Linked DNA regions of Macaca fascicularis. Each later gene encodes a partner of the first gene's protein in a complex. Links are inferred from orthologs where the notes say so. Each region holds a gene or a part of one and is shown in the gene's direction. Other genes may lie near its edges. The genes, in order: IZUMO1 and IZUMO1R.

Region 1 (15,567 bases):
CAGCCTCCCCTCCCTAGTCTTTGTGTATTTGCTAATTCACCTTTCCTCCCCTGCAGCCATGTGGCCCCCGAGCCGTCGTCAGCTCTGCCTGGCCTTCCTGCTAGTCTGTGTCCTCTCTGCGCTCTCCTTCTTCTTCCATATCCACCAAGACAGCTTTCCACATGGCCTACGCCTGTCGATCCTGTGTCCAGATCGCCGCCTGGTGACACCCCCGGTGGCCATCTTCTGCCTGCCAGGTACCCCGGTGGGCCCCAACACCTCCTCTTCCTGTCCCCAGAACTCTGCCTCCCTCTCCGGCACCTGGACTATCTATCCCGATGGTCGGTTTGGTAATCAGATGGGACAGTATGCCACGCTGCTGGCTCTGGCCCAGCTCAATGGCCGCCGGGCCTTCATCCTGCCTGCCATGCATGCCGCCCTGGCGCCGGTATTCCGCATCACCCTGCCCGTGCTGGCCCCAGAAGTGGACAGCCGCACACCGTGGCGGGAGCTGCAGCTTCACGACTGGATGTCGGAGGAGTATGCGGACTTGAGGGATCCTTTCCTGAAGCTCTCTGGCTTCCCCTGCTCTTGGACTTTCTTCCACCATCTACGGGAACAGATCCGCAGGGAGTTCACCCTGCACGACCACCTTCGGGAAGAGGCGCAGAGCGTGCTGGGTCAGCTCCGCCTGGGCCTCACGGGGGACCGCCCGCGCACCTTTGTGGGCGTCCACGTGCGCCGTGGGGACTATCTGCAGGTTATGCCTCAGCGCTGGAAGGGTGTGGTGGGCGACAGCGCCTACCTCCGGCAGGCCATGGACTGGTTCCGGGCACGGCACGAAGCCCCGGTTTTTGTGGTTACCAGCAACGGCATGGAGTGGTGTAAAGAAAACATCGACACCTCCCAGGGCGACGTGACGTTTGCTGGCGATGGACAGGAGGCTACACCGTGGAAAGACTTTGCCCTGCTCACACAGTGCAACCACACCATTATGACCATTGGCACCTTCGGCTTCTGGGCTGCCTACCTGGCTGGCGGAGACACTGTCTACCTGGCCAACTTCACCCTGCCAGACTCTGAGTTCCTGAAGATCTTTAAGCCAGAGGCTGCCTTCCTGCCCGAGTGGGTGGGCATTAATGCAGACTTGTCTCCACTCTGGACATTGGCTGAGCCTTGAGAGCCGGGGAGATTTTCTGAAATAGCCTGATCTTTCTAGAGCCAGCAGTACATGGCTCTAGGCCTGGCATCTTCTGGAGAAGTCTGTGGTGTTCCTGAAGCAAATGGGTGCCCGTTTCCAGAGCGATTCTAGTTGGGAGAGTTGGAGAGAAGGGGGACCTTTCTGGAACTGTCCGAACATTCTAGAACTAGCAAAACATCTTTTCCTGATGGCTGGCAGGCAGTTCTAGAAGCCACAGTGCCCAACTGCTCTTCCCAGCCCATATCTACAGTACTTCCAGATGGCTGCCCCCAGGAATAGGAAACTCTCCCTCTGGTCTATTCTAGAAGAGGGGTTACTTCTCCCTTGGGTCCTCCAAAGACTGAAGGAAAATATGATTGTCCAGAGCAAACATTCACCAAGTCCCCTTCTGTGTTTCTGGAGTGATTCTAGAGGGAGACTTCTTCTAGAGAGGGCCAGATTTGATGCCTGTAAAGAACCCTGCAGGGCCCTTAGAGACAGGATGGGGTTCTGGAAATCTAGATAACTAAGGTGAATAATCTTTTTAGTTTTTGTTTTCTCGCCCTGTTGCCCAGGCTGGAGTGGCCTCGCCCTGTTGGGTCTCGCCCTGTTGCCCAGGCTGGAGTGCAGTGGCGTGATCTTGGCTCACTGCAACCTCCGCCTCCTGGGTTCAAGCGAATCTCCTGCCTCAGCCTCCTGAGTAGCTGGGACTACAAGCACACGCCATCATGCCCAGCTAATTTTTGTATTTTTATGTTGGCCAGGATGGTCTTGATCTCTTGACCTTGTGATCCACCTGCCTCGGCCTCCCAAAGTGCTGGCATTACTGGCATGAGCCACAGTGCCCGGCCCGGATAATTTTATTTTTTATTTATTTATTTATATATATTTTTTGAGACGGAGTCTCTCTGTAGCCCAGGCCAGAGTGCAGTGGCGCGATCTCAGCTCACTGCAAGCTCCGCCTCCCGAGTTCATGCCATTCTGCCTCCGCCTCTGGAGTAGCTGGGACTACAGGCGACTGCCACCACACCCAGCTAATTTTTGTTTGTATTTTTAGTAGAGATGGGGTTTCACTGTGTTAGCCAGGATGGTCTTAATCTCCTGACCTCGTGATCTGCCCGCCTCGGCCTCCCACAGTGCTGGCATTACAGGCGTGAGCCACCATGCCCAGCCCGGATAATTTTTTAAAATTTTTGTAGAGACAAGGTCTTGTGATATTGCCCAGGCTGTTCTTGAACTCCTGGGCTCAAGCAATCCTCCCACCTTGGCCTCCCAGAATGCTGGGATTACAGACGTGAACCAGCACACCTGGCCAAGTGAAGAATCTAATGAATGTACAACCTAATTGTAGCATCTAACGAGTGCCCCACCATTGCTGGAAAAATCGAGATGGAAAACAAACCATCTCTAGTTGGCCAGCGTCTTGCTCTGTTCACAGTCTCTGGAGAAGCTGGGGTAGTTGGTGAGCAGAGCAGGACTCCGTCCAGCCAGCCCTCCAGCCCCTCAAAGACTTTTTTTTTGTTTGTTTTGAGCAGACAGGCTAAAACGTGAAAGTGGGGTGAGGGATCACTGCTAAAATGGTGCAGCTTCTGGAGCAGAACTTTCCAGGGATCCAGGGACACTTTTTTTTAAGCTCATAAACTGCCAGAGTTGCATATGTTGGGTCTGAGTTCAGGTTTCCTCTCACAATGAAGGAAGATGGTCTTTCTCTGCAGGTGGGCCGCTGGGGGTCTGGGATCTGTTTTCTGGAAGTGTGGAGGCATAAACACACCCTCTGTTTTTGTGACAAGCTGGCAAGCACTGTGCTCATTGCTAACCATTGTCTGCCCCTGAACACCCAGAACCATTACATCTGGCTTTGGGCAGGTCTGAGATAAAAGGATCTAAAGGCCTGCAGACACTGGACCCAGCCTCAAATCCAGGCAGGAGCACGAGGTCTGGCCAAGGTGGACAGGATTGTCGAGATCTCAGGAGTCCCTTGCTTTTTTTTGGAGGGTGAAAGAAGAAATCTTAAACTTAGTCAACTCTGATCACATCCCCTATCTACTCATCCAGGATCCCATGCCTCCAAGCTTATCAGGGAGTTACACTTACAGTACAATTGTTACAGTTACAGCACTGTTCCCAACTCAGCTGCCGCAGGTAAGAGAGCAGGAGGTATGAATTAAAAGTCTACAGCACCAACCTCTGTCTCTGCAGCTTTTTTGGAGTCAGAGCTGCCGTGTGTGTGTGTGTGTGTGTGTGTGTGTATGTGTGTGTGTGTGTTTGTGTGTGTGTAAGGGAGTGGAGGAAAAGGTGGGTACTTCTGAAGACTTTTTTTTTTTTTTTTTTGAAGACCGAGTCACCCAAGCTGGAGTGCAGTGGTGTGATCTCAGCTCACTGCAACCTCCACCTCTCGGGTTCAAGTGATTCTCCTGCCTCAGCCTCCCGAGTAGCTGGGACTACAGATGTGTGCCACCATGTCCAGCTAATTTTTTTATTTTTAGTAAAGAGGGGTTTCACCATGTTAGCCAGGCTGGTCTCGAACTCCTGACCGCAGGCAATCCGCCCACCTGGCCTCTCAAAGTGCTGGAATTACAGGCGTGAGCCACCGCGCCCGGCCCTGAGGATTTTTATTACTCGTGATTGGTAGTACTGTCCCTACTTAGATCTGACAGCTCCTTGTTGCTGGACTTGTGAGAGTTGTGGTCCCTGTTTTTCTGGTTTCCTGTTTCAGTCACACAGGAGAGACAGACCTTCCAGGACCCAAACGTCTGAGCCCCCAGTTGCTCTCTTCTGGACCCTCAGTATTGGCCCCCAGTCCTCTCCTCCCGCTGGGACCTCCGCGTGGAGAGAAGAGGCGGAGGAGGGAGCGAACGGATTATCATTGAACTACATTTCCCGGAAAGCTATGGGGTTGGCAGCGCTAATCAGCTACAGAGAAAGAGGCCCCAGGACATTTTGGGAATTGTAGTCTTATGGCTAAAATGTCCACTTCGTAGCTCGACAGCCGTTTCCAAGGACCGCGGTAGGGGCGGCAGCGGCTTGGGGGGCCGGATCTAGCCCAAAGCCTGGGTCCTGGGGCAAGGAGAGGGGAGAAAGCTGAACGCTAGAGTCCGGTCCTTGACTCTGGAAGCCAGAGCAGTCAGGAGCCTTCCTCTTCGGTAGATGCAGGGAAAGTTCTAGTCCAAAAAGGCTGCAGCCTCTGTGACGTCATGGAGCGATAGGCGGGGCCTCCCTTTGTTGCAGTCCAATCAGACAGAGTTGGGCTTCTGGGTGGGGCCAAGGAACGCCCAAGGAATATCTATAAGGGAATTCGGGCCCCTACGTGAGAAGCTCGCAGCGGGTGGTTGCAGGAGTTCCCTGAGGAGAGGGGATCCTCCGTGACTCAGACCCCCATCGAAAAGCTCTCGATTTCACGCAACCAACCTTACCCTCGTCCCCAACAAAATCCTTGATTTTAGCCCTGGGAAAATTAGCGTAGGTGGTCATGACCCCGGGTTCTTCTTTAAAAGCCCTCAGAACCTGGACCGGGCTCCTCAACGAACCCCAGTGTTAGAAGCCACAAGTCAGGAATCGAGGTCGGGGAGCGGCTCTTTAGGGTGCATCACTGTTCAGGATGCACCAGGGCTCCTTTTTCTAAGCAGAAGGGTGCGCCCCGCAAATTGGGAGCCCGTTAGTTTTGGGGAAGGGTGAACAAGGGCCCCCTGGGTCTGGAGGACCTTATGGAGTCTTGCTTAAGTCTTAGTACGGACCCCAGGTTTAGGAATTCGGAATGTGTTTTGGTTTTGAAGGACTTCCGAGTTTGACAATATCGGGTTGGGTCTGTGTTAGATGATTTATTGGTTTGGGCTTTGAATCTTCAGCTTGAGGTTCAACAGGTTTTTGGGGGCTGGCGGGTGAGTGCCTCACGGTTGCGCTTAAGGGTTGGAGTTCAGGATCACGTCAATCTGGGGACTTGGAAAATTCCATAGTTTGGGATTTTGGGAAGGGGCGCATGGGGTTGGGAGATTCCAGGTCCTGAGTTTGGGGACTTACGAATGCTTCCTGTTTAACGGTTTTTCTGATCTCTCAATTGGGATGCAGTGAGAACCCTAAATTTGGGGTCCCCTGGGTTGGGGCTCAGTTTCACACTTCGGAGGCATTTGATGAACGACATAGGTCCTCTTTATTTGGAGATTTCCTGAAGATCCTCTTTTCGCGGTTTGGGGACCCCATGGGTAGGGAGCCCAGTGGGATTTCTTAAGATGGATTTTGGCTTTTCTCCGTTTAGCGTTCTCCTGCTCTCGGTTTGGGGTGAGAGCAGCCTTCCTAACGGTCTTCGGGAACTGTGCGCGCCGGCTGCAATGGGGCCACATTTTACCCTCCTGTGTGCGGCGCTGGCCGGTTGCTTGCTTCCTGCCGAGGAGTGTGTTATGTGTGACCCGTCTGTCGTGCTGGCGCTAAAGTCCCTGGAGAAAGATTATCTGCCTGGCCATCTGGACGCGAAGCATCACAAAGCCATGATGGAAAGGGTAGAGAAAGCCGTGAAGGATTTCCAGGAACTGTCGCTTAATGAGGATACCTATATGGGGGTCGTTGGTGAGGGCAGGGGGGACCACGGACCCCTGGGTCCTGGGAAAGGGAAGGAGGGAGATAAGACCAGGGGGAGGAAGAGGCTGACAGCAAGGTCTCCGGGATTCGGGAATGGAGAAGGCTGAGATGCAGATTCTGAAGTTCCCTGGGGCTAGTACATACTGTTTTCCCTATCCTTATCCGGCGATTTTACGTAATAAAACTACAATTCCCAGAAGGCAACGGGCGACTGAGTCCTTAACCAGGCCTATCCTTGCCCAGTGGCCTCATGGGTATTGTAGTTTCTAAGGTTAGGCGCGCCAATGAGACAGTAAGGCTGGAATCTGGGGTTGTATCTCTCTTGACAGACGAGGCCACACTGCAAAAGGGGTCCTGGAGTTTGCTGAAGGATCTGAAACGCATCACAGACAGTGATGTAAAAGGTAAATGCACCAAGGGAGTAGGGGTCCAGAATCTCTCAGGGAAGCCAGCATTAGTGCTGCCTGGTCTCTTGGTCAGATACTAGGCTGTGGGGCCAGACTGCCTAGGTTCAAATGCCTGCTCTGCCACTTCCTAGCTGTATGCCCTTGAGCAAAGGACTTGGAAGCTCCCTTGGCTCTAAAATGCTCCCTCAGTTGTTCAGTTTAAATGTGTATTGCTGGCCGGGCGTGGGTAGCTCATGTCTATAATCCCGGTACTTTGGGAGGCTGAGGCAGACAGATTGCTTGAGCTCAGTAGTTCAAGACCAGCCTGGCCAACATGGTGAAACCTTGTCTCTACAAAAAATACAATATATATATATATATATACACATATCTATAACCTGGGCATGGTGGTGTGTGCCTGTAGTCCTAGCTACCTGGGGGGTTGAGGCCGGAGGATTGCTTGAGTCCAGGAGGTTGAGGCTGCAGTGAGCCATGATTGCACCACTGCACTCCAGCCTGGGTGGCAGAGTAAGACCCTCCCCCATCCCCCAAAATATGCATGGCTTAGCCTAGCGGCTGGCATTACGTTAGACGGTCAATTTTAGTGCCCTTTCCTGAGAAGGCCAGGAAGTAAACTGCCAGCTCTGCAGGCAGAAGTAAACTTCCAGCACCTCACACGTGGGACTGGGGGTTCCTGTGTCTTCCCAGGTGATCTCTTCGTGAAGGAGCTATTTTGGATGTTGCACTTGCAAAAGGAAACCTTTGCCACCTATGTTGCTCGATTCCAAAAAGAGGGTGAGAGAAAATGGGAGTCTGTGTCCCCCAGCTCCTCTTTCCACTATCCAAGAGTCCCTGTCTCCAGCCCCTTACTTCTCCAAGCCCAGTTCCTCAGCTTCTCCAACTGCCTCCTCCTTCAGACCCAAGTCTTTTCTCCCTCAAACCCAAGAGCCCAAAGCCCAGCTCTTCCCCAAACCTCCTCTTCCATCATCTTTCATTTAGAAATCTGACTCTGTCATCTCTTTCTCTCTCTTTTTTTTCTCTTTTGACACAGCTTATTGTCCCAACAAATGTGGTGAGTCCGGATTACAGAAGTTAACCCTCTAGTCCTCATCCTGCCCTCTACATATTCTGCTTCCCCACTCGCCTTTTTGAATCCTGATGGTTTTGTCATTCTCCGCCTTGGAGAGGTTCCTGGGTCTCCACTATTCTTTTTCCACCTTGGATTTCTTGGGGAGCAGGTCATATTCTACTTACACTCTTTTTTTTTTCTTTTTTAAGACAGTCTCACCCTGTCGCCCAGGCTGGAGTGCAGTGGTGCAATCACGGCTCACTGCAACCTCCGCCTCCGAGGTTCAAACTATTCTCCTGCCTCAGCCTCCCTGAGTAGCTGGGATTACAGGTGCCCACCACCACACCCAGCTAATTTTTGTATTTTTAGTAGAGACAGGGTTTCACCATGTTGGTCAGGCTGGTCTTGAACTCCTGACCTTGTGATCTGCCCACCTCGGCCTCCCAAAGTGCTGGGATTACAGGAGTAAGCCACCACGCCCGGCCTTTACTTACACTCCTTACTGAGCCTTGTTGGAGTCCACTTCCTACCCACCTGCGTCCTGGTCCTGTCCCTTCCTCTGACCATGTAGGAATGTCGTAGATGACCTGGCCCCAGCCCTTGGCCCTGACCTCTCCTTTTAGCCATGCCCCTTAGTGGGCAAATACAAGCCTTGACTCTGCCCCTCCAGGTGTGATGTTGCAAACTCTGATCTGGTGCAAGAACTGCAAAAAGGAGGTTCACGCTTGTCGAAAGTCCTACGATTGTGGGGGTGAGAGAACTGTACTCAGCAGGAGGAACTGGTGCAGGTGGGGTGGGGCGATAGGAGAGACAGACTAGAGAGAGCTTAGATGGGGGTGTGGGGGCAGTAGACAAGAAAAGGCAGGGTTTAGGCCAGGTACAGTGGCTCACACCTATAATCCCGGCACTTTGAGAGGCTGAGACGGGAGGATCGGGAAGCCAGGAGTTTGAGACCAGCCTGGGCAGCATAGCGAGACCCCATCTCTACAAAAAAATTTTAAAATCAGCCAGGTGTGGTGGTGTGTTCCTGTAGTCCCAGATACTTGGAAGGCTGAGGCAGGAGGATTGCCTGGACCCAGGAGTTGGAGACTGCAGTGAGCTACGATCATACCACTGCACTCCAGCCCGGGCAAAAGAGTGAGACCTTGTCAAAAAAAAAAAAAAAAAAAAGTCCGGGCGCGGTGGCTCAAGCCTGTAATCCCAGCACTTTGGGAGGCCGAGACGGGTGGATCACGACGTCAGGAGATCGAGACCATCCTGGCTAACACGGTGAAACCCCGTCTCTACTAAAAAATACAAAAAACTAGCCGGGCGAGGTGGCGGGCGCCTGTAGTCCCAGCTACTCGGGAGGCTGAGGCAGGAGAATGGCGTGAACCCGGGAGGCGGAGCTTGCAGTGAGCTGAGATCCCGCCACTGCACTGCAGCCTGGGTGACAGAGCGAGACTCCGTCTCAAAAAAAAAAATAAAAAAATAAAAAAAAAAGAGGCCGGGCGAGCTGGCTCACACCTGTAATCCCAGCACTTTGGGAGGCCGAGGAAGGTGAATCACGAGGTCAGGAGTTCAAGACCAGCTTGGCCAAGATGGTGAAACCATCGTTTTTGTACTAAAAATACAAAAAAAGTAGTCAGACATGGTGGTGGGCACCTGTAATCCCAGCTACTCGGGAGGCTGAGGCAGAGAATTGTTTGAATTTGGGAGGTGAAGGTTGCAGTGAGCCAAGATGGCGCCACTGCACTCCAGCCTGGGTGACAGAATGAGACTTCGTCTTAAAAAAAAAAAAAAAAAAAAAAGCGAGCGAGAAAGAAAAGAAGAGAAAAGACGGGGTCACAACAAATGTAAGAGGATTAGGGGAGGGTAAAGAACCGTGAAGGAGGCCGGGCGCAGTGGCTCATGCCTGTAATCCCAGCACTTTGGGAGGCTGAGGCAGACAGATCGCCTGAGGTTAGGAGTTCGAGACCAGCTTAGCCAATGTGGTGAAACCCCGTCTCTACTAAAAATACAAAAATCAGCCGGGCATGGTGGCGTGCGCCTGTAGTCCCAGATATTCAGGAGGCTTAGGCAGGAGAATCGCTTGAACCCGGGAAGCGGAGGTTGCAGTGAGCCGAGATCAGGCCACTGTACTCCAGCCTGGGCGACAGAGCAAGATTCCATCTCAAAAAAAAAAAAAAAAAAAAAAAACCCAAACAAACAGAACCGTGAAAGAGTGTCCCATGGTCTTCCTCCACCCCCAGAGCGCAATGTGGAGGTTCCTCAAATGGAAGATATGATCCTGGACTGTGAGTTAAACTGGCATCAGGCTTCTGAAGGCCTCACTGATTACAGCTTTTACAGGGTGAGGGCCTCAACTTCTGTAATCCTTGAACTCCCTAGACTACAATACTTGTGTACTGGATCTGTGGGCCTGCACCCACGATTCTCATGACCCAGGCGGGTGGTCTATTAGGTGTGGTCTCTACTGGGGATCCCGTGCCCCAACCAGTGACACCCTGGACACCCACCTCCCACACTGAGGCCCTGTGATCTTCTCAACCCGGTACTCCCCCAACCCCTGAATTCCTCAGGCCTCAGTGACCCCTTGAGCTTGGGTCTAGGTTTGGGGGAACAATACGGAGACTTTGGTGTCCAAGGGGAAAGAGCCCACCCTGACCAAGTCCATGGTGGGTCCAGAGGATGCAGGCAGCTACCGCTGCGAGCTGGGCTCTGTGAATTCCAGCCCAGCCACGGTCATCAATTTTCGCGTCACAGGTCAGTGCTGTGGGGTTGAGAGAAGTGTAGGATTCAGGGCCCAGGAAAGCTGGGGGTCCGCGTCGGGGGCGTGGCCTCGGCGATGGGGGCGTGGCTTCCTGTTGGGTGTGGTTTCGGGGCAAGGGGTGTGGCTTCCCGCCGGGGGCGTGGCCTCTGACCCCGAGGACAGGCGTTCCCTTGGGTGTGTTCAGGCTTTACACTGTTGAAGGCGTGATTATCTCTGGGATGGCAGGCTACCGGGACGGGCTTGCCTTTGCCAGGGCAGGAACTCCACGCCCTGCCAGGACTGCTCTTTACACTTTCTCTAACAGTGTTGCCCAAAAGGGTCGAGGAGGAAAAACCGTCCCCAAATATCGTAACCCCGGGGGAGGCGACCACGGAGTCGTCCAATACCCTCCAGCCTCTGAAGCCCGAGAAAATGCTGAAAGGCCGCCTTCTGGGGCTGCTGATCTGGGGCTCCCTAGCACTGATAACCGGCATTACCTTTGCGTGAGCAACCCGTTGAAGAAGGCTGGCTAGGCTTGGAGTAACGGGCGGGGCTTCCAGGAACCCAACGCAGAAGCTGGGCTGGGGGCTACTGAGGACTGAGAGCAGGACTTTCCTGGGGATGGAGTGCGGGGGGCTTGCATAGGAGGACTTCGAAGGGCGAGGCTTAGATAATTGCTAGAATAAAGTCACACAGGGGGTGGTTGGGAGGGGTGTCCCCCACACAATTACTACCCAACCCGGTTCCATGATCTGCACCCCACTCCCACCCCTAGGATATTTTGTCGAAGGAAGGTGATCGATTTCATCAAGTCCTCACTGTTTGGCCTTGGCAGTGGAGTGGCCGAGCAACCCCAGGTCCCAAAAGAAAAAGCCACAGATTCGAGGCACCAATAAAGATTTATCTTGTTGTCTAAGCATCTGACTCACTCCCCTGGACGGGGCTGATCCTAGCCTTTGGTTCCCCGAGAGCAGAGGTCTGGGGATGGGCTCCGGCCTGAGGGAAGAAGGGCGGGAAACCAGGACCCTTGGGTCGTGGAGGGGGCCATCTGGCTGCGACGTAATTCCAGAATCAAGGAATGGGGCAGGGCCAATCCTCCCCAGATCTCCTCCCCCAGGCCTGGTCTCCTCACAGGACGCCCCCTCCCCGCTCTTCCTGCCGGGTTTCCTCTTGCCTTTTCCTGTCCCCCACCCAGTGCTGGGAGCCGTGGCAGAGGCAAGAGCAGTGGAACTGACCCAGGCCAGTGGAGCCAGGGCCTCCGGGTGTGCCGGACCCGAAGCAGGGTAAGAGCCAGGGACCCAGCGGCCCAAACCCTCCTCCCTGGGACCCAAGACTCAGTCCCCCAGCCATCTTCCATCCCAGGACCCAGGAATCCAGGGTACCATCCCTCTCCTCCCTCTGGGCTCGCAAGTCTGAGCCCCAGTCCCCTCCTCCCTCTGACTCGGAGTCCAGGTTCCCTCCACCCCATTCCCACAAGAGTGCCTTAGGAGTTGAGGCCTTCCTCGCCTTCCCTTAGGGCCATGCTATCTGGTGAACGGAAGGAGGGCGGAAGCCCCCGCTTCGGGAAGCTTCATCTCCCCGTGGGCCTGTGGATCAATTCCCCCAGGAAGCAGCTGGCGAAGCTGGGGCGGCGCTGGCCCAGCGCAGCCTCTGTCAAGTGAGTGCCATCTCTGCAGGACTCCTGGCCCTGCACACCTGCCTCCCATCTGTCCCTGTTCACGGCCCAGTCCTGCAAAGGGTTGGCTCCGGTCCTCATCCTGAATTGGGCAAGCGAGCTTGTGGGTAGTGCGAGACGGTGGGGCGCAGCGATACCAGGGCGCTGTGGGAGTAAGAGCTAGGCCAGGCAGGAGGTGGAGTGAGGCCAGATCGGCACCGGGATGAGGACAGAAAGAGCAGGGGGATTGATTCACCTTCCTTCCTCCCCTCTCTGCTCACCTCTTGGAATTTCCCTCTGTGGGACTTGCCTTTATTTATTTATTTATTTATTTATTTATTTTCTCTCTCTTTGCCTCGCGTCTCTGTGCCAACCCTCACCCCCGCCCCGTCCATCCACCCTGGATCCCTGTCCTCTCTCTGGGTCTCTGCTCACTTCCCTCCTAATCTGTCCTCCACCCCCGTCTTGGCGTGTTGTTCGGGTCTCTCTCCCGCGACTCTGTTCCCCGGCGGACTCCCAGGTCTTCTTCGTCGGACACGGGGAGCCGTAGCAGCGAGCCGCTACCTCCGCCCCCGCCGCACGTGGAGCTGCGGCGAGTGGGCGCTGTCAAGGCGGCCGGGGGAGCCTCCGGTAGTCGCGCCAAGCGCATCTCCCAGCTCTTCCGGGGCTCGGGGACCGGGACCTCGGGGTCCGGCGGCGCGGGAGGCCCTGGGACCCCGGGGGGTGCGCAGCGCTGGGCCAGCGAGAAGAAGCTGCCGGAGCTGGCGGCGGGCGTGGCCCCCGAGCCCCCGCTGGCCACCCGCGCCTCCGCGTCCCCGGGGGTCCTCAAGATCTTCGGCGCCGGACTGGCATCGGGCGCCAACTACAAGAGCGTGCTGGCCACGGCGCGCTCCACGGCGCGCGAGCTCGTGGCCGAGGCTCTAGAGCGCTACGGCCTGGCCGGCAGCCCCGGTGGCGGCCCGGGCGAGAGCAGCTGCGTGGACGCCTTCGCTCTGTGCGACGCACTGGGCCGGCCCGCGGCGGCGGGCGTGGGAAGCGGCGAGTGGCGGGCGGAGCACCTGCGCGTGCTGGGCGACTCAGAGCGCCCGCTGCTGGTGCAGGAGCTGTGGCGGGCGCGGCCCGGCTGGGCGCGGCGCTTCGAGCTGCGCGGTCGCGAGGAGGCACGGCGCCTGGAGCAGGAGGCCTTTGGGGCTGCAGATGGCGAAGGTGAGCTGCGGGCGGGGCTCTGGGGCGGGCACTCGGGGCCAGAGAGGCGGGGTCCGTGGGGCGGGGCCTGGGCGGGGCTTGTGGGACCCGCGGGCTGGCTGGGGGCGGAGCCCGCGGGAGGGGACTGGACGGTGCGTGTAGGACTCTAGCAGGTGGAAGGCAGAGCTAGAGCAGGGCCGGGGGCGGCCAGATGGGCGGGCCTGAGAGTTGGGTGGGGCTTGTTGATTGAGCAGGAGTTTTACGGGGGCCGAGGCTGGGGCTTAGGCGGGGCGGGGGCTGGTTGCTGGTGGTGGCTTGGAGTGGCCTGAAGTGGTTCCGAATTGGGGTTAGGGCCTTCTGCAGGTATTTCAGACTGCCTTGGAGGAGGTGGGGTGTGTAGCGGGGTCTGCGGAGTAGTAGATCCTGAGGAGAGTTTGTGGAATGGGCAGGAGTCCGCAGGGACCTGAGGGATTCGCCCTGTGTGGTAGGTTAGAGGACACTAACAATTTGCTGACCTTTGAAAGTTTCTTTCTCTACCCAATCCCCACTTTCTGGTAGGGTTTCTGCGAGGTCTGTTAGGTGTACATCCTGCAGCTTAGTGGCTTAAAATGTATTCTTCTTCGATGTGGTTTCTTGGGGCCAATTGGGAGAAAGTGAAATCAATAGCGCAACTGTTTTGATACTGAATATTGACAAGGGTCTTTTTGAATTAAAGAACTAGTCCTGGCCGGGCGTGGTGGCTCACACCTGTAATCCTAGCACTTTGAGAGGCTGAGGCGGGCGGGATCACCTGAGGTCGGGGGTTCGAGACCAGCCCGGCCAACATGGTGAAACCCTGTCTCTTCTAAAAATACAAAACTTAGCCAAGCGTGGTGGCGCATGCCTGTAATCCCAGCTACTCGGGAGGCTGAGACATGAGAATCATTTGAACCCGGGAGGCAGAGGCTGCAGTGAGCCGAGATCGCGCCACTGTACAACAGCCTGGAGGACAGAGCGAGACTTCCTCAAAAAGACAAAAAACGAAAAAAAAAAAAAATGTCCTCCAGAAAAAGAAAAAGGAGTTGGAGAGACCTAGGAGCCGGAGGAGTAAGCCCGAACAATGTTCTCGGGAGCGATGCAGAGCAGATGGGCGGGGCCTGTGGTGGGGCGGGGCTTGTGGAAAAGCGTGGCCTGGCGCACAAAGTGTTGGGTCGCGCGAGGAGTGGTGGCATGTAGTGCGCATGGGTCTCTGTGGTAGGAGGCAGCTCTGCCAAGCAGGTTGAGGTGGTTATTGAGCAGGGCCTATGTGGGCGGAGCATAGAAGGGGCGACACCTACGTGAGTGAATACAGGTTCCTAGATCAGGCCTGCTGGGGCTAAGATGGGCGGAGCCTCTGAGGGGCAGGCCTTGGATAAGACGGCCTTAGGCTGGGTTGACTGCCAAGTGGGATCAGATGGGAAAGGAAAGGGCTGGAGGAAGATGACATTGTAGAGGCGAAGGAAGGCCTTGACCTCAGAGAAGGCCAGGCCTGGAACAGAAGGTAGAGTCAATGGTGAAATAGCTGGTGCTGGACCGCGCCTGGCAGGGGTGGGGCCTGGCGCACTGAGAGCATGAGTCTGCTCAGGGAGCCTTCTAAACGCTTTTCTGTATCTGAGCCTCCCTTTGGGAGATAGAATGTTATCGCAATTAAACTGATGGGCTTGGAACTGGGGTTTGGATTCCAACCCATTCTGTGACAGTTAATCTCAGTAAAATCCTAGGTGAGGATTCAATGGGATAAAGGGGCACAGGGCTTGGTACAGAGTAGGTGCTTAATAAAGAATGATGATAATAATCATTGTCTCCACCTCCCCACGGACAAAATATCCATTGAGCACCTGGTGTAGGCCACACATTTTCCTTTTTTTTTTTTTTTTTGAGATGGAGTCTTGCTGTGTTGCCCAGGCTGGAGTGCAGTGGCACGATCATGGCTCACTGCGACCTCCACCTCCAGGTTCAAGCAATTCTCCTGCCTCAGCCTCCCGAATAGCTGGGATGACAGGTGCCCACTACCACGCCTGGCTAATTTTTTGTATTTTGAGATGGGGTTTTGCCATGTTGGCCAGGCTGGTCTTGAACTCCTGACCTCAAGTGATCCACCCACCTCAGCCTCCCAAAGTGCTGGGATTACAAGCATGAGTCACCGTGCCCGGCCTGGCCACACAGTTTTCAGGGCACTGGGGAATACAGTGGAGACGTTAACAGATGAGGTTTCCACCCTCCCATATCTCACAAGCCTAGTGGAAAACACATTAGTCCATTCATTCAGCTCATTTCCACTCGGTGCCTACTGTGTGCCAGGGTTCTTGCTGGGTCCAGAAAAAGCCCAGAGTACCCGGTGGTGCAGTCACCTGCTTCAACTTGGACTGTCAGGGACGGGTGTTTAGGAAGAGGTGGTTTCAGTCTCCTGGAGGGCAGGGTCTTTTCTGTTACCCAGAGACTTGACAGTCTTAAGCATGTAGTAGGTACTCAGTAAATACTTGTTAAAAGAACAAATGGGGCTGGGCGCGGTGGCTCATGCCTGTAATCCCAGCACTTTGGGAGGCCGAGACGGGCAGATCACAAGGTCAGGCGTTCAAGACCAGCCAGTTTGAGACCAGCCTGGCCAACATGGTGAAACCCTATCTATACTAAAAATACAAAAATTAACCGGGTGTTGTGATGCACGCCTGTAATCCCAGCTACTCGGGAGGCTGAGGCAGGAGAATTGCTTGAACCTGGGAGGCAGAGGTTGCAGTCAGCCGAGATCGTGCCACTGCACTCCAGCCTGGGTAACAGAGCGAGACTCCGTAT
Region 2 (15,335 bases), on another chromosome or scaffold:
TCACACTAAGAGTCATGCTTTGGGCAGCCTTGCCTGCAGGGGGCCACTGAACCGTATGTATTACACCCATATAAAATTGTCCCAGTCTAAAAGAACCTATGTAGGGGTATTTCAAGGTCCTTTGAGAGGAGCTACTGGTAAGTTTGTGCCTATTCAAATACTTTTCATTTTAAGCATACTAGGCTGGCAGGAGGGGCATCTACTGAAAATTGGACTGTGAGGAAAGAGCATGACCTGTGGAGTCAGAAACACTGAGTTCTACCCCAGGTTCAGGCCCTGTGGGTTGTCACACCTGACACATCCCATTCACTCACTCACTCATTCATGTATTCAAATATTGAGAGGCCCTTCTATTTACCATAAACTGGTAGGAGCTGGTAACAGAAGGCAATATGGTTCGGCTGTGTCCCCACCCAAAATCTCATCTTGAATTTTAATCCCCATAATGCTCATGTGTCAAACGCAGGGCCAGGTGGAGGTCACTGGATCATGGGAGTGGTTTCCCCCATGCTGTTCTCATGGTAGTGAGTGAGTCTCACAAGACCTGATGGTTTTATAAGCATCTGGCATTTCTCCTGCTTCACTCACTTGGTCCTGCAACCCTATGAAGAAGGTGTCTGCTTCTCCTTTGCTTTCTGCCATGCTTGTAAGTTTCCTGAGGCCTCCCCAGTCATGCGGAATTGTGAGTCAATTAAACCTCTTTCCTTTATAAATTACCCAGTCTCAGGTATTTCTTCATAGCAGTGTACGAACAGACTAATATAGAAGGATAAAGTAAAGTCCTCACCCTTAAGGAACTCAAGAGTCTAAGGAGGGCGGAGCAAGCAAATATGCAGAAGATTGCATCACCCTGTATTAAGCATGATGCTGAAAAGAAGCATTGAATGCCATGACAGTCCACAGAGGAAGGGACAAAAGCAGGCTCTCTTGTGATGAAGGTGCCTGAGCAGAGCCTGAGATGATGAGCAGCCTGGTGGAGAAGCAGGGAAAGGTCATCCCCAGCAGATGGAGCTGCAGATGAAAAGGAACAGAGTGGCGGTAGAGCAGGGAGTAGCTCAGTGTGGCTGGCATGAAGGGTGAGGATGGGATGGGGGGAGAGAGGTTTCTGTTGTAACCCATGTCAGATGATGATGAGCCTCGAATGATCATGTTAAAGTATTTGCATGAGGTGGTGGAGGAAGAGGGGTCCAGGATAGCTCCAGGCAGGGTGACTGAAGGGAAGGGGTCCCATTAGCCAGCACAGAAAAGGAGATTGAATGTGGAGCTAAAACAGGTAAGTGTAAGGTGCCTGTGAAAAATTCAAGTGCAATACCATTGGAAGTATGTAGATATGTAATTCTACAGGTCGGGACTGTATAGAGATTTAAGAGTACCCACATATAGATGATCACTGAAGCCATGTTGGGGGTGATATTGCCCAGAGAGAGAGAGTGTACCGTAAGAAGAGAAGAGGTCCAACCAAGAACAGAGCCCCAGAAAGCGCTTAAAGGGCAGAAGGAGGAAATGGAACCTATCAAAGGGACCAAAAAGGAACTAGTTGAGATGTAGGAGGAAAGCCCTGAGAATCAAGGAAGAAGTGAGTTTCAAGAAGGCCGGGGGGACTGAGTACTTTGGTCAAAGGCAGCTGAGGAGTCAGGTAGGATCCAGACGGACCTTACCCACTGGATTGGATAATTTAGAAGTTGCTGCTGAATATGGCCAGAGTGGATTCCAGGGAACGGTGGTGGAGTCAGGCAGCAGGGAGGGATAATGAACATGAGGAGACACGGAGGAGCCACCATGAACATACACAGGTTTTATACAAAACATAGCTAGGAAGAAAAGACAGTTTGGTAGCTGAGGTGGAACTTAGGGTCTAAGGACAGTTCCAGGAAGGGATGGTGGGTGGATTGAAAATATATGGAGGCTGGGCATGGTGGCTCACACCTGTAATCCCAGCATTTTGGGAGGCCAAGGCAGGTGGATCACTTGAGGTTGGGAGTTCAAGACCAGCCTGGCCAACATGATGAAACCCCATCTCTACTAAAAATACAAAAATTATCCAGGCATGGTGGCACGTGCCTGTAATCCCAGCTACTCGGGAGACTGAGGCAGGAGAATTGCTTGAACCCGGGAGGTGGTGGTTGCAGTGAGCCGAGATTGCGCCATTGCACTCTAGCCTGGGCGATGAAGTAAGACTCCATCTCAAAAAAAAAAAAAAAGAAAAAAGAAAAGAAAAGAAAGAAAATGTATGGAGAATAGTTGCATACTGTAAAACTGCATGCAAACCTTAGTTACTGGTTAATAATGCCCTCTGATACACCCAGCAGCAGCCTGGTATGAATGTGACAATGTGACATAAGTGTGATGGTGAGCAAGGGAGCCATCAGCCCAAGAAGGAAAATAAGGAGAGTAAAGACATTTTTTCTTTCTCCCATCTGTAATTTTCAGTTAATTCCTTGTCCATAGAACATTGGTGTTTTGCTCTCTGTTCTCCCCTGTTCTCCCTTGGACTCTTTTCAACAGTTGATGAGCTTCAAACTCATTTCCTTTGTGGTGATTAGACCTAAAAAGTGGCCTTCTTCAAGTGGCAATGAGACGCCCCAGCATTAACACTCTGAAATATCACAGAAGTTATCAGAAACTGAAGAGGCTCTGGTTGGAAAATCTGGGAGTGAGGAAGAAAACTGAGAGAGGAAAGGCAGGGAGGGGAGGGGCGGGAGGAAAGGCTGAGAGGAGAGGTCACTATAAACTAGAAGGAGGAAGAATAGAGGAGGGAAGGAAAAGAAAGAGGGGATAGGAAGGAAGAGAGGAGAGGGGAGGGAGGGAGAGGAGAAAGAGAAAAGAGGGAAGAGATGGGAAGAAGGATGGGGAGAGGGAGAAGGGAGAGGTCACCTTAAGTTGGAGAGAAAAGGATGGGTGAGCATATGATAAAGGAGAAGAAAGAGAAAGAGGAAAGGAAGGAAGGCAGGGGAAAGGGAGAGATGGGATAGGTCAGGTTAAACTAGGGAAGTGTCTGAATTAATATTCCAGGAAGAGATGCTGGATGGATTGAAAATGTCTCAAGAACAATTGCACATTGTGAAACTGCATACAAACCTCAGTTATGAGCTATTACACTCAGCAGCAGGAAGCAAGAGAGGCAGAAAAGAGAGGTGGGATAGGTCAGGTTAAACTAGAGAAGTGTCTGAGTTAAAACTACATTTTTAAGAAATGCAGTTTGGGCCAGGCATGGTGGCTGCTGCCTGTAATCCCAGCACTTTGGGAAGCCGAGGCAGGTGGATCACTTGAGGTCAGGAGTTTGAGACCAGCCTGGACAACATGGTGAAACCCCGTCTCTACTAAATATACAAAAAATTAGCCAGGCATGGTGGTGTGCACCTGTAATCCCAGCTACTCGGGAAGGGGGTTGAGGTGAGAGAATCGCTGGAACCCAGGAGGTGGAGGTTGCAGTGAGCCAAGATTGTGCTACTGCATCCCAGCCTAGGCAACAGAGCAAGAGTCTGTCTAAAAAAGAGAAAGAAAGAAAGAAAGAAAAGGAAGGAAGGAAGGAAGGAAGGAAGGAAGGAAGGAAGGAAGGAAGGAAGGAAGGAAGGAAGGAAGGAAGGAAGGAAGGAAAGAAGGAAGGAAGGAAATGTAGTTTTATTTTACTCAGGTATTTCTCCTCATCTACTCAACAAATTGCAGAGTATGCACTCTGGGCTAGGGACTGTGTTTGACCCTGTGATCGTTACTATCTTCCTGCAGCTGCTTACAGAAGAGAAGCAAGGTCGAGCCTGTCTGCAGGCATTCATTTCCAAGGGCAGGACGTATGTGCAATGACTGCAGCAAGCATAAGCTCCAAGAGACATCTCACCAGCCCATGACGGCCATGCAAGTTTCCCTGACAGGAAGCCTTTGGTTCTGAGAGCTGAAGCGTATGTATCCCTAGACACAGAGGCTGGGCTATGACAGAACAGCCCTGGAAGAGGGGCCCCTGCAAGGGGCAGGACAAAGACGGGCCATCAGGCCTCAGGAGTGCCCAGAGCATCCATGAGAACAAGGACAACAAATTAAGATGGAAAAGTAAATAAAAACCACATTTAAAAGGGCTGGTGTGCCACGTTAAGGATCTGGGACTTACCTTAAGGTCTAGAAAGGTTTTAAACATGGGAGTATCATAACTGTCTTTACATTTTTAAAAGATCATTCTGAAAAACAAAGACTGCAAAGAAATGTTGAACCCTGGTTAATGATATGCAGGCTTGAATTACTTAGGAAGACATCAGTTTACTGATATCCGCAATTTACTTTGAAATGCATAAAAAATAATAAGACTGATACCTGAATAGAGAGAAAGATGGTTGGCTAAACATATAATAAAGAAAATATAAAAAAATGGTAATGGTGAAATCTAAGTAGTGGGCATATGGGAGAGAGTTGACTATAAAATTATCTCAACTTTATGTTTGAAAACTTTCATAATGAAAATACTGATAAAAGAAATGAAATAATTATATGAAAAATATACCTGCATTCTTACGTTTATTACAGCACTATTCACAATAGCAAAGATTTGGAATCAACCTAAGTGTCCATTAACAGATGAATGGATAAAGTAAATGTGGTAAAATATATACAATGAAACACTATTCATCCATAAAAATGAATGAAGTCATGTATGTTGCAGTAACATGGATGGAACTGAAGCTATTATCTTAAGTAAAACAACTCAAACAAAAAGTCAAATACTGCATTTTGTCACTTAAAAGTGGAAGCTAAATAATGTGTACATATGGACATAGAACATGGAATAATAGACGTTGGAGGCTCGGAAGGGCGGGAGGGAGTGAAATATAAGAAATTACATAATGAGTACAATGTGCAAAGCACAGACTTCACCACTATGCAATATATCCATGTAACCAAACTGCACTTATACCCTTAAATTTATACAAATTAAGAAAATTCTGAGACATTACATCATTATGGCTGCTACATGATTAAAGCTCCATTAAAGGGTGGGAGAGCTAATTAGGGGGTTGTTGCAGTAACTGAGGCAAGAGCTGATCATGGTCCAGACAGTAAGTAAGGGATGTGAATTCAAGAGATATTTAGAAAATGAAATCAACAGCTCTGGCGATTAGATAGACATAGAGGGAAGAATAAATTAATATCCCTGTTTACCTGCCCTAGACAGAAACCAATCAAGAGTTTAGATGAGGATGGTCAATTGGGTTTGGGGTGAGAAGAATTCATGAAAGACCCACTAAGAACTTGGAATCACTGAAGTCCCCTTCGGCTGGCCTCTGACAGCGGATTCTCACCAGGAGACTCCAGGCTCTAGCTCTTCACTTTCGTAGTCTGTTCTCGAAGTCAGTGGGCTTCAGCCCCTTGGGTGACCTGAGGACGGGAGAGGGGAGGGAAGTCATCACTGCCCAGCATCTCCAGTGGCCCCAAACCAGAGCCAAGGCTGGGTTGCTTCACCCACTGCCCTGACCTCCTTGTCTTCCCTCAGAGCCCTCTGAAGGCAGCTGTACCTCTTCTTTTGGAAATGGAAGTGTTCTGTGTTGTTGTGTGTGTGTACGTGCGTGTGTGTGTGTGTGTTTTTAGAATAAAATTGTTTTGAATCAGCCACTTCAAATTGCTTCATCTACAGTCAGCTTTGATTTATCTGCTTTCAGTCAGAAAGCAGATTGCTCTGGAAGACTCAGTCACAATAAGGCAAAAATAAGCTTTGCTCAAGGGTCTCAAGCTGCCTCTCCCCCGAGAGCAGATGCTGGCCGGCCTGATGGTTCTCTGAAAGGCAGCCTCACTCACTGGGTAATTCCTTCCTCCCTCCCTCCCTCCCTCCCTCCACCTGCATATGCGCTGGCTGCAATTTTAGCTCATTTCCTACAGCTTTGTCCCGGAGACCGTTAGCAAGCCGCCCTTAGTCCTTCTTCCCACCCTAGGAAGGACGGTTGTCAGAGGACCTATTTCCATTTCAATAATTACTGTTGTGATTCATGTCTGGATTCTTGGCTCTGGCACCTCCGCAGCCATTTTAAATTGAACCTTAAACCCTAAATCTCTTACCTTGTCAAGGCTTGGAGCTTCCTGAATATTCGTGAGGAACTGAACAGAATATGAGAGCCTGCTTCTCCCCCTGCCAGGCTATGGAGATGCTATTACCATTTGGTATCTGAACCTAAGGAGGAGACTCCAGGCTCTGCTTCAGGTGGGGACATGGGAGAATGGGTTGATAACTGTCACTTTTCCAGAATAAAGCCAACACACACCTCCCAATGCATGTACAACCTCATTATGGCATTTAACCTTTTTTAAGAAGGAGACCTCACTTGAGAACCAGACAGTATCGACTCTTTTAGTCCTGGAGGTTTCTCCCTCACCTGGTCCTTAAGCATTAGATAGGGAGTCGAGTATACCTGAATTTATATCCCAGCTCCACTACTCACCTCTGAGCCTCAATTTCCCCACACCTAAAACAAGGAGGGTGTTCACATTGGAGGTCTTTTTGAGACATCAGATCCTGTAGACAGCACCAGGCCAGTGCCTGCATCCTTGTTTGTGCTCCGCATTCAGTGGCTGTGATTACCTAGGTGTGGAGAATGTCATTTTCCAACATGAGTACACGTTTTACACATCAATTGTGTAGCTGAACACCACAGAATGTATTTTATTTTATTCCATTAAAAAATGCTTTTAGTGTTTTGTTTTCATTTCCTTTGTGTCAATAAAACTTCACTGATTTCAGCTACTTCTCTTTCAGAGAGACAGAGAACATATTATAAAAACAAAGAAATATGCTCCTTTTCCAGCGTTTTTATCATCTTTAGGACTCTCCCAAGAATCCTATCCAAGTTTCTAGTCTCTCCTTAGCTGAAAAGGATAGTCTTGCAAATATGATCACTGATGAGGACACTTGTAGAATATTTCCCAGGACGATTCCTGTGTGCTAAGGGGAGCTGTTTGGTGGGTTATGGAGGGACTTTCTTTGTTTTGTTTGCTTTGGCTTTGTTCGTATGTTTAAATTCTTGGGTCCCCAAGGCCACACTTCATCTCTGCATCCTGTGTCCTGGGTCTGCTCTCCAGCAGGGACCATAGCTCCTGTGGGCTGTGCGAGGACACTGTCGGAAAAGCCACCAGGTGACTGAGCTGATGCCTGGCTAACAGTGAAGGGCAGGTAGAGCTACGGAACAGAACATAGGAGGGGCGTGTGGAGAGAGGATAAAAGAATACAATTTAAAATCATTAAGACTTCCTCTATCCCAGGCACAATGCCAAGGTTTTTGTTCATGAACTTTCTCTTTATTTTTCCCAATCTCATAATAAAAACTTCCTTTCCAGAGAGGGAAACTAACAGAGTTTGAGTCATTTTCTCCAGGGGAGCCAGCTAGTGAGTAGCAGAGCTGAGAGCTGAACCCAATAGCTTATTGAAGAGCCCCAGATCTTGCCTACGATGGGGTCTGTTTCTCTGAGGAAGCAAACTTCTTAGAACCCACAGGCCTGCAGAGCTGAGTAAGACAGACGCTGTTTAATGGGAGCCACGTGGAGTTCTCCTCCTGCACCTGGACCTAGTAGAAATCAGACAGGGTAATAAATGGGTGGGACGTGGAACTCTCCTCAGCCTCACAGTTTCAGGGGGAGGAGGGAGCAAGAGCACCTGGAGGCCCCTGCCTTGAAAGTGAGTATGAAGAGAGTGCTGGAAGGGGCAGCGTCTTTCCTCCTTTTACCTAACAGACCTGATTCTTTAAAAATATTCGAGGTCATGGCTGAACTTGAAACTGGTGATCTGGAGAGAGAATAGCCTTAGATTTGGACTTCAGGTTGGACTCTGAAGAGGGGGCTGGGCTCTTCTTTCCCAGGATGTTTGAGGCTCTTAGCTCAGGGTAGGCTAGAAGTTTCCAGTTTCACCATGATGGGTCCAGGTCAGGCTCCTGCCAGACCTGGGGGGCTGGGGGAGCCATGGGCTCCTGGGTTATGAAGCTGAGGGGCCCTGTGTCTTAAGAGGTTGGGTGCTTGAAGCCCAGGGCCCCTCTCTGCCTTTTGCTTTGTTTTGTCTCTCTTTCTACTACCTCTCATTACCACTACTACCCAGAACAGAGTTGGATATAGGAAGGGCCCTCCTCCTCATTCCTGTGATGGGGATCAGTCTTTGGATGTAGAAGGCTCCTCCTATCTGACTCGTGCCTCAGCATTTCCCTGGCTCTGCAGGGCCAGCAAGGCCTCCAGCACTGTGTCAGGCCTCCGAGGATTATTCTACCTGCCCTGACATTCCGTGATGCTGCCTCCAACAGAAGGTCCTAGGAGCAGCCAAAGTGTTGTAGTCGCTTGAGGGAGATTGAAGCCCATCCTCCTTTTTCAGCGCCTGCTATGATGAAGTGGGTGGAGTGGGGTATCCTTTCCAACGAGTGTACAGCATTGGTCTCTCTGCAGCAGGCCATGGCATGGTGGTGGCCACTCCTACTAGAGCTGTTGACAGTCATGCCCACCTGGGCTGGGGATGAGCTACTCAACATCTGCATGAATGCCAAACACCACAAGAGAGTGCCCGGCCCAGAAGACAAGCTCTATGAGGAGGTACAGTGGCCAGACCTGGGGATGGGACGGGGAAGATCAGGGAAGGGACACAAATGCCAAGATGGTCTCCAAACCTCATCAACCCTGATCATTTGGTCCCTGGGGTTGGGAGTTGAGCAAAGACAACTAGATGGAAAGAGACTATGCCTTTTTGAGACCATGAGAGCCAAGTGATTCAAAGTTCCCATTTCTGAGCTGCTCCAGCCACTGGGAAAGCCAGGGCAGATGGTGATCCCAGAGGTCCATTGTTGACTCGGCGTAGATGAAAACAAGCCTTCCTGCCAACAGGTCCTGGGGAAACATACAACGTATGTAACCCCTCCCCAAGCTCCTAAAGGCAATTGCCAGGGATGTGGGAGGAAGAACACAGTTGGCATTTTGCCTATGAGACCCTCCCACTCAATGCAACCCCAGATTCCCCTAGGTCTCGCTGGGGCTCTTCTACCTGCTTTGCCCTAAGAGGTTTCTGCTGCCTCTCAGGAGCTGAGAGCCCAGAAGTTGTGTTCCTAGAGGACTGTAGCAGCCTGTGGCAGGGGGTCAGTGTGCAGGTGCCTATGCCCTTTGGGTAAACATTGAGAGATTATCAGGGTTCCTCTTATGTAGGGGCTTACCAGCTAAAGGCATCCCACTTGCTCAGGCCTTCTCCTAAGGGACATTTTCATTTCAGCGCCCTTCTTCCCTAGACACCCGGCAATCCTTGCCCCTTATGCCTGGGCCTTTTGTTTCCTCGTCTGCCTTCAGTGCATCCCCTGGAAGGACAATGCCTGCTGCACCCTCACAACAAGCTGGGAAGCCCATCTGGATGTGTCCCCACTCTACAACTTCAGCCTGTTTCACTGTGGACTGCTGATGCCTGGCTGTCGGAAGCACTTCATCCAGGCCATCTGCTTCTATGAGTGCTCCCCAAACCTGGGGCCCTGGATCCGGCCAGTGGGAAGCCTGGGGTGGGAGGTAGGAGGCAGATCTGTGCAATGCTCTGTTATTATATTAACAGCCAGAGCTTTCACCCTATCTTATGCTGATGCCTCCAGGATGCTAGCAGGAACAGGAGGTGTTATCTCCCTATGGACAAGAGCAGACCCAGAGGCCCCTGCTGGAGAACCACATGGGGGAGACTGTTTTGACAACAGTGGGATGCAGGGCTATCACCACAGAAGGCTTGGTGGAGTTAGACGGACCTGAGCCTCAGTCTCATGTTCTGTCCCTACCAGCTGTATAGCCCAGGACATACTATTAAATCTCTTAGCCTCATTGGTGTTATTTGTAAAATAATACTTAGAGACTTTATAGAAGATGATGTACATATGGTAGCTGGCACAAACACCACTGTAGCTATTAGTAATCTTCACATCTCTGCTATTAATGTTCTTATCTCTGGCTATGACTGCACCCAGGAGGCCCCGAGTAGGCAGGGAGAGCGAGTCGTGAATGCACCGCTGTGCCAGGAGGACTGTGAGGAGTGGTGGGAAGACTGTCGCTTGTCTTACACATGCAAATCCAACTGGCGTGGCGGCTGGGACTGGAGTCAGGGTGAGTGGTGCTGACAACGCCTTGGTGGGGAAGCAGGACCCTTGGTGGTCCCCACAAGGGTGCAGGTGCATAGGCTAGGAATGAGGGAGTAGGAGGTAAGCTGTCCCTCCTCCATCCCCTGCAGGGAAGAACCGCTGCCCCAAAGGGGCCCAGTGCCTCCCTTTCTCCCATTACTTCCCCACCCCAGCTGACCTGTGTGAGAAGACTTGGAGCAATTCCTTCAAGGCCAGCCCTGAGCGACGGAACAGTGGGCAGTGTCTCCAGAAGTGGTTTGAGCCTGCTCAGGGCAACCCCAATGTGGCCGTGGCCCGCCTCTTCGCCAGCTCTGCCCCATCCTGGGAACTGTCCTACACCCTCATGGTCTGCTCCGTGTTCCTGCCATTCCTTTCCTGAGAGCCCTTCTTCTCCAACCCACATTCCTGCACGTCCGCCAACTGTGGGTCAGGCCAGGCCACAGCCTACCTCCTTCCTCAGGCCCTCCCCTAAAAGCAGTGGCATGGGCTAGGGACTGGGTGGGACTGCAGTCCCCAGCCCATGCCACTGCTTTTAGAGGAGGGCCTGAGGAAGGAAGTGGCCACTGAGGCTTCAGCCGCTGGTGCCTGAGCCCTGCACATTTGGCCCGAGGCCCCCTCCACTGCTCTGCTCTGCCTTAGCTGGCCTGGGAGGCAGCTGGGGGCTGGAAGTACCAAGGTGACTGGCCCCCTGCTGCCTTGAGGGATGGGAGATTTTAAGGGGCTCGAGGACTTTTCCCATCCAGTGCACGCCTACCCCTTTCTATGACAGAGCTCATGGTGGCAGACCTGGCCTCCCGTCCTCCGATGGTGTCTCCAATAAATCGGCACTCAACCTCTCCTCTGCTTGACTTCCTCTGTCTTAGCTTTACGAGCAGGGACCCAGCATGCACACAGCGGGAAGCAGTTTGCCCACTGCACTGAAGCCTCAGAGTTAGGTTGTTACTTGCCTAACAATTATTACCCTCTTACTATCTGCCACACATCCTCACAACACCTCTCTGATGGGAGTACTTTCAATGCCTCTTTTTTTTCAATAAGTGACACCCCATACAAAGGACCCAAAGCCAGGGCGAGAGGAATGGGGCCACCCAGTGCATCAGCTCTATTTTGGCTGCCAAAATTAAAACTGCTATCTCGACTGCCTTCAGGGTTCCCTCTTCCTTTTAACCCATTCATTTTACCCCAGAATCACAGCACACTGGTCTAAAATTTTGGAAACCCAAGTTCTAATCTGGCCTCTTTGCTTTCTATATGACTTTTGGCAACTCCTGTGATCTTCATTAAGACTGCCTTGGTTTCTCTCTCTGCTAAAGTAATGAGTTAGTTGGATTTCACTTATGGAAAAGAAGAAAAAGGAAAAAGCTAGCAACCTTGTTTGCCAGGAGATAGTGTGTGCTCCTCAGATGGTACGCCACGACCTCAAGAATAAAGTGTTAGAACTGAACTGGGGATGGGGCCCTGACCTCGCACCCCGGCTGTAAGTGGACAAGCAGCTGACCTGCCCATCCAGCATCTTCTGGAGCCTGGAGCTGGGCGGCTTTCCAGCAGTAGGTGATGCTTTTCCCCCACAACATTTTATTTGACAAAGAGAGGGTTCTAGCATGGCTGCACTTGATTTGGCTGGCTTTTCTGACAACTGTTCATTCTTGTCAGACACCAGCCAGCCCCACTCATTGCTTAAACTCGGCCTCCATTCCTTCTGCACCGGCCTCACAGGCTCATCCACTGAGCAGACCTTGTCTCAGGGGAGGCACTGGAGTCACAAAACCAACAAAGAGCGTCCTTCCAAGTGCGGCCCTCAGTGTCTAGAGTAGTAGATGACAGCTGCAGTGAGGACAAAGCTGTTCATAGGAAGTCTGAAAGAAAGGGGTTGGGTGGGGGTCTCTGAGAATGCCTCACAAAGGGGTGAGGCTGGAGCCCCAAAGAAAGAGGGCAGCTCACTGAGAACAGAAGGGAAGTGCTAGTCAAAACCCAGTGGAGGCCCCAAGGTATGAGCCAGATGAAGCAGGACCTTCAATTGCTCTTAAATGAATAGATTGTGGCTTCAAAAATACATATGAATGTATCAAAAATCTCTTAAAGAGCTTAAAAAATTGAAAATCTCTTGAAAACTGAGGTGTCTGTGGGTGTGTGGTTGATAATAAAGCTGAGAGGTTAATGCCCTTTTTAAAGTGTTTTTAAATATAAGGAATTGCCAAAGGAAGGTTAAAATTGGAGTGGACAAAACAAGAGTAGTCTGGAAGCCCTAATAACTTGATACTTATTGATCACTTACCATGCACCCAGTATCTCTGGGAAGTATATAATATATATTAGTTCATTTGATCCTCACAAAAGCCTTATTATCCTTGTCGTATTATAATATTATCCTCATTTTTTACTATTCTCATTTTTCAGATTGGGACATAAATATAAGTAGGTTTGAAACCAGCTAAGTCTGAGCCCACAGTTCCAGCTCACAGGCTTACACTGAACAGCCTGGTCTGTAGTTGAGTGGAACTGACGTGGATTTAGGAGTGGTGGGAGAGAGGGAGGGATGGCTGGTGGCAAGTCACAGTCAGGAAAGAGACTGAGTTCTCCCCCTTCATGGGATTAGGAGTCATTACCCACAGGTCACAATTGACAGTTTAAAAGTAAAAAGGCTTCCAAGTTAACCCACCTAGGGTAGGCCTTGTGGTTCATGGTGACATCCTTTCCCTGAAAAAGAATCTTATTGTGAGTTCCCTGTTGGCATACTGCTTAATGTGTAGCCTACCGACATTGAAAAGGGTGCTGATTTTTTTTTTCTTTCTTTCTTTCTTTTTTTTTTTTTTTTTGAGACAGAGTCTCTCTCTGTCGCCCAGGCTGGAGTGCAATGGCACAATCTCAGCTCACTGCAACCTCCGCCTCCCGGGTTCTAGCGATTTTCCTGCCTCAACCTCCTTAGTAGCTGGGACTACAGGGACCTGCCACCATACCCAGCTAATTTTTGTATTTTTAGTAGAGATGGGGTTTCACCATATTGGCCAGGCTGGTCTCCATCTCCTGACCTTGTGATCCACCTGCCTCGGCCTCCCAAAGTGTAGGGATTACAGGTGTGAGCCACCGTGCCCAGCCAGGAGTGCCGATTTAAATTTACATATTAAAGTTTTATTGATTGTCTTCCACGTAGACATTTTAGCCTGTATGTTGCAATCTGTATCCAATAATTGTAACCTCTATATTGTACCCTCCAATGAAAAAGGACAACTTCAGGATGCGAAATCCCCTCCCTTCTCCTAAACTTTCCTATAAAAAGCCTTCCAACATGTAACACTCCAGAAGACTCCCAACTTTGTTAGTGTGTCTTCCTGGGTCAATATTCACATTTGGCTTCCAAGAAACCTTTGTAAATTATTTCTGCTTCCAACAAACCTTTGCAAATTGTTACAAATAGCCTTAATTTTGGTCAACAGGAGGAGTGATGGGTTGTAAGCAATGGAGCAGAACTGTCAGATTTGCAGTTAGATTGTGTGTTTTAATCAGAGTGATCCATGCACATGGCTCACACACATCGGCCAAAGGATTTCTAATGCAAAGCGAGAGAGCGGCTGTCAGTTCACCTATCCACCAGGTTCCTACCCTAGGAGCACCCCTTCTAACCATTTCTGGGTTTAGCTATGAAAAAGTTACAAAATGTGACTTACCTTTTCTGCCAGACGTTCAGACTATGTTTTTGCTCTCTGTTCTGTTTGAGTTTCTCAACTTAATCCTCCAATGATTTTAATTCCAGCAATCCACTTTTAATTTCCAGGAGATTTTTTATTTCTTTTTTTTTTTCACAGCCTGCTGTTTTTTGTTTCATGGATGTAATATCTTCTCAAATGTCACTGAAGATCTAATTAGAATGTTTTTAAGCTTGTTTTGAGTCTCTGAATGACCTGTTTCCTCCAAGGTCAATCTGTTCTGTTTCCTTGATTTTCTCCTACGTGCTGCTGGTTCTCTCTGAGTCCGGTGGCTTTGACTGTCTATCTTTGGCTGTCATATTTAAGAATGAGGAGCTGAGTTGATTTTATAGTGAGCTATTTTAGGTTTCCTCCATGGTTTTATATAAGGATCTTCATTTCCCCTAAATAGCAGCCCTGCTGCTATTTGTAACAATTTGTAAAGGTTTATTGGTATGTGGGAAGAGCTTGTTGAGAGAAAGACCTTGCTTCAGAGTGTGAAAATTAATGAAGATACCCAAATAAGAACAAGCAAAGGCTATTCGTTCAGAGCTTGCAAGAGAGTCAGCTACTATCACTTGCATTTTGCCAGAGACTCAAGGCAAGGAGGGGAGTGGGAAAGTTTGAGTGGATAAAAGGGAAGGCTTCGGCTGGGCGTGGTGGCTCACACCTGTAATCCCAGCACTTTGAGAGGCTGAGGTGAGCAGATCACAAGGTCAGGAGATCAAGACCATCCTGGCCAACATGGTGAAACCCTGTCTCTACTAAAAATACAAAAAAATTAGCTTGGCGTTGTGGCGGGTACCTGTTATCCCAGCTACTTGGGAGGCTGAGGCAGGAGAATCGCTTGAACCCGGGAGGCAGAGGTTGCCGTGAGCTGAGATCGCACCATTGCACTCCAGCTTGGGTGACAGTGCGAGCCTCCATCTCAAAAAAAAAAAAAAAAAAAAAAAGGGAAGGCTTTAAGTCTGCTAGGCTCAGAGGCTGTGGGCAGGGGCAGCTGAAGGCAGGCTAACTGGAAATGGGCATCCTATGTGTTTGGTTCAGGGAACATACTTAGCTTTTTCTGATTGGTCCTAAGTTGTAAATGGAGCCAAAAATAAGAAAGCTGGCTATTAATAAAAAATTCTTGACCATGTTGGGTCAATTGTGATAGGGATTATTCTTTGGCTCCCTACACTGCATCTTCCTGAAGGTAAGATGCCTTACCAAGTGCAGTTAGGAGGTTGGCTTCTTGGGCTACTAGTGGATCAGAATCCTGTTTTATATACAGCTAACCATTGTTCATTTGTAGATTCAGTCTTTCAATCCCAGGGACAAAAATTAGGGAACAGTTATTAATCAACTCCTGGCTGTTTGGGGCTACTGCAGGGCTGATTGTTCGGCTTTCTGGGCTAATTGCTAGAGAGAGAGTTCTGATGTCCTACAAGTCTGACTTGCAAGATAGTAGGATGGCTTCTGGGCTGGTTACTATAGATAATGGGTTAGAGTTCTATTGTTATATGTGGTCTGGTCATTGTCCATCTGTATATTTAGTCTCTCGAGACCAAGTTAGCAGGAGCTATAT

The links.
Region 2: the proteins of IZUMO1 (region 1) and IZUMO1R are in contact, whole or in part, in a crystal structure (PDB 5JKC), measured with the Homo sapiens proteins. The link is inferred for Macaca fascicularis from reciprocal best matches to the Homo sapiens genes IZUMO1 and IZUMO1R. Residues at the interface, in NP_872381.2 of Homo sapiens: Met75, Val77, Tyr134, Val141, Leu146, Trp148, Lys150, Asn151, Lys153, Glu155, Val156, His157, Ala158, Arg160, Lys161, Ser162, Tyr163, Asn239, Ser240, Ser241, Pro242, Ile245; in NP_001186135.1 of Homo sapiens: Lys42, Tyr44, Glu45, Ile48, Leu58, Trp62, His65, Leu66, Asp67, Gly80, Leu81, Leu82, Met83, Pro84, Gly85, Arg87, Ile91, Met145, Ser146, Tyr147, Gln171.

Annotation. Positions count from the first base shown.
Region 1 is NC_088393.1:56,729,144-56,744,710, reverse strand, and holds IZUMO1 (izumo sperm-egg fusion protein 1), read left to right. Parts: upstream 1-5,264; 5' UTR 5,265-5,385; coding exon 5,386-5,719; intron 5,720-6,060; coding exon 6,061-6,135; intron 6,136-6,825; coding exon 6,826-6,912; intron 6,913-7,168; coding exon 7,169-7,189; intron 7,190-7,856; coding exon 7,857-7,937; intron 7,938-9,417; coding exon 9,418-9,518; intron 9,519-9,777; coding exon 9,778-9,931; intron 9,932-10,242; coding exon 10,243-10,420; intron 10,421-10,692; coding exon 10,693-10,813; 3' UTR 10,814-10,833; downstream 10,834-15,567. Other genes in the region: FUT1 (galactoside alpha-(1,2)-fucosyltransferase 1), read left to right, coding at 59-1,159; RASIP1 (ras-interacting protein 1), read left to right, coding at 11,438-11,574, 12,092-12,777. UniProt on the Homo sapiens protein: Essential sperm cell-surface protein required for fertilization by acting as a ligand for IZUMO1R/JUNO receptor on egg.
Region 2 is NC_088388.1:93,303,648-93,318,982, forward strand, and holds IZUMO1R (sperm-egg fusion protein Juno), read left to right. Parts: upstream 1-8,403; coding exon 8,404-8,541; intron 8,542-9,282; coding exon 9,283-9,492; intron 9,493-9,935; coding exon 9,936-10,071; intron 10,072-10,195; coding exon 10,196-10,464; 3' UTR 10,465-11,763; downstream 11,764-15,335. UniProt on the Homo sapiens protein: Receptor for IZUMO1 present at the cell surface of oocytes (oolemma), which is essential for species-specific gamete recognition and fertilization.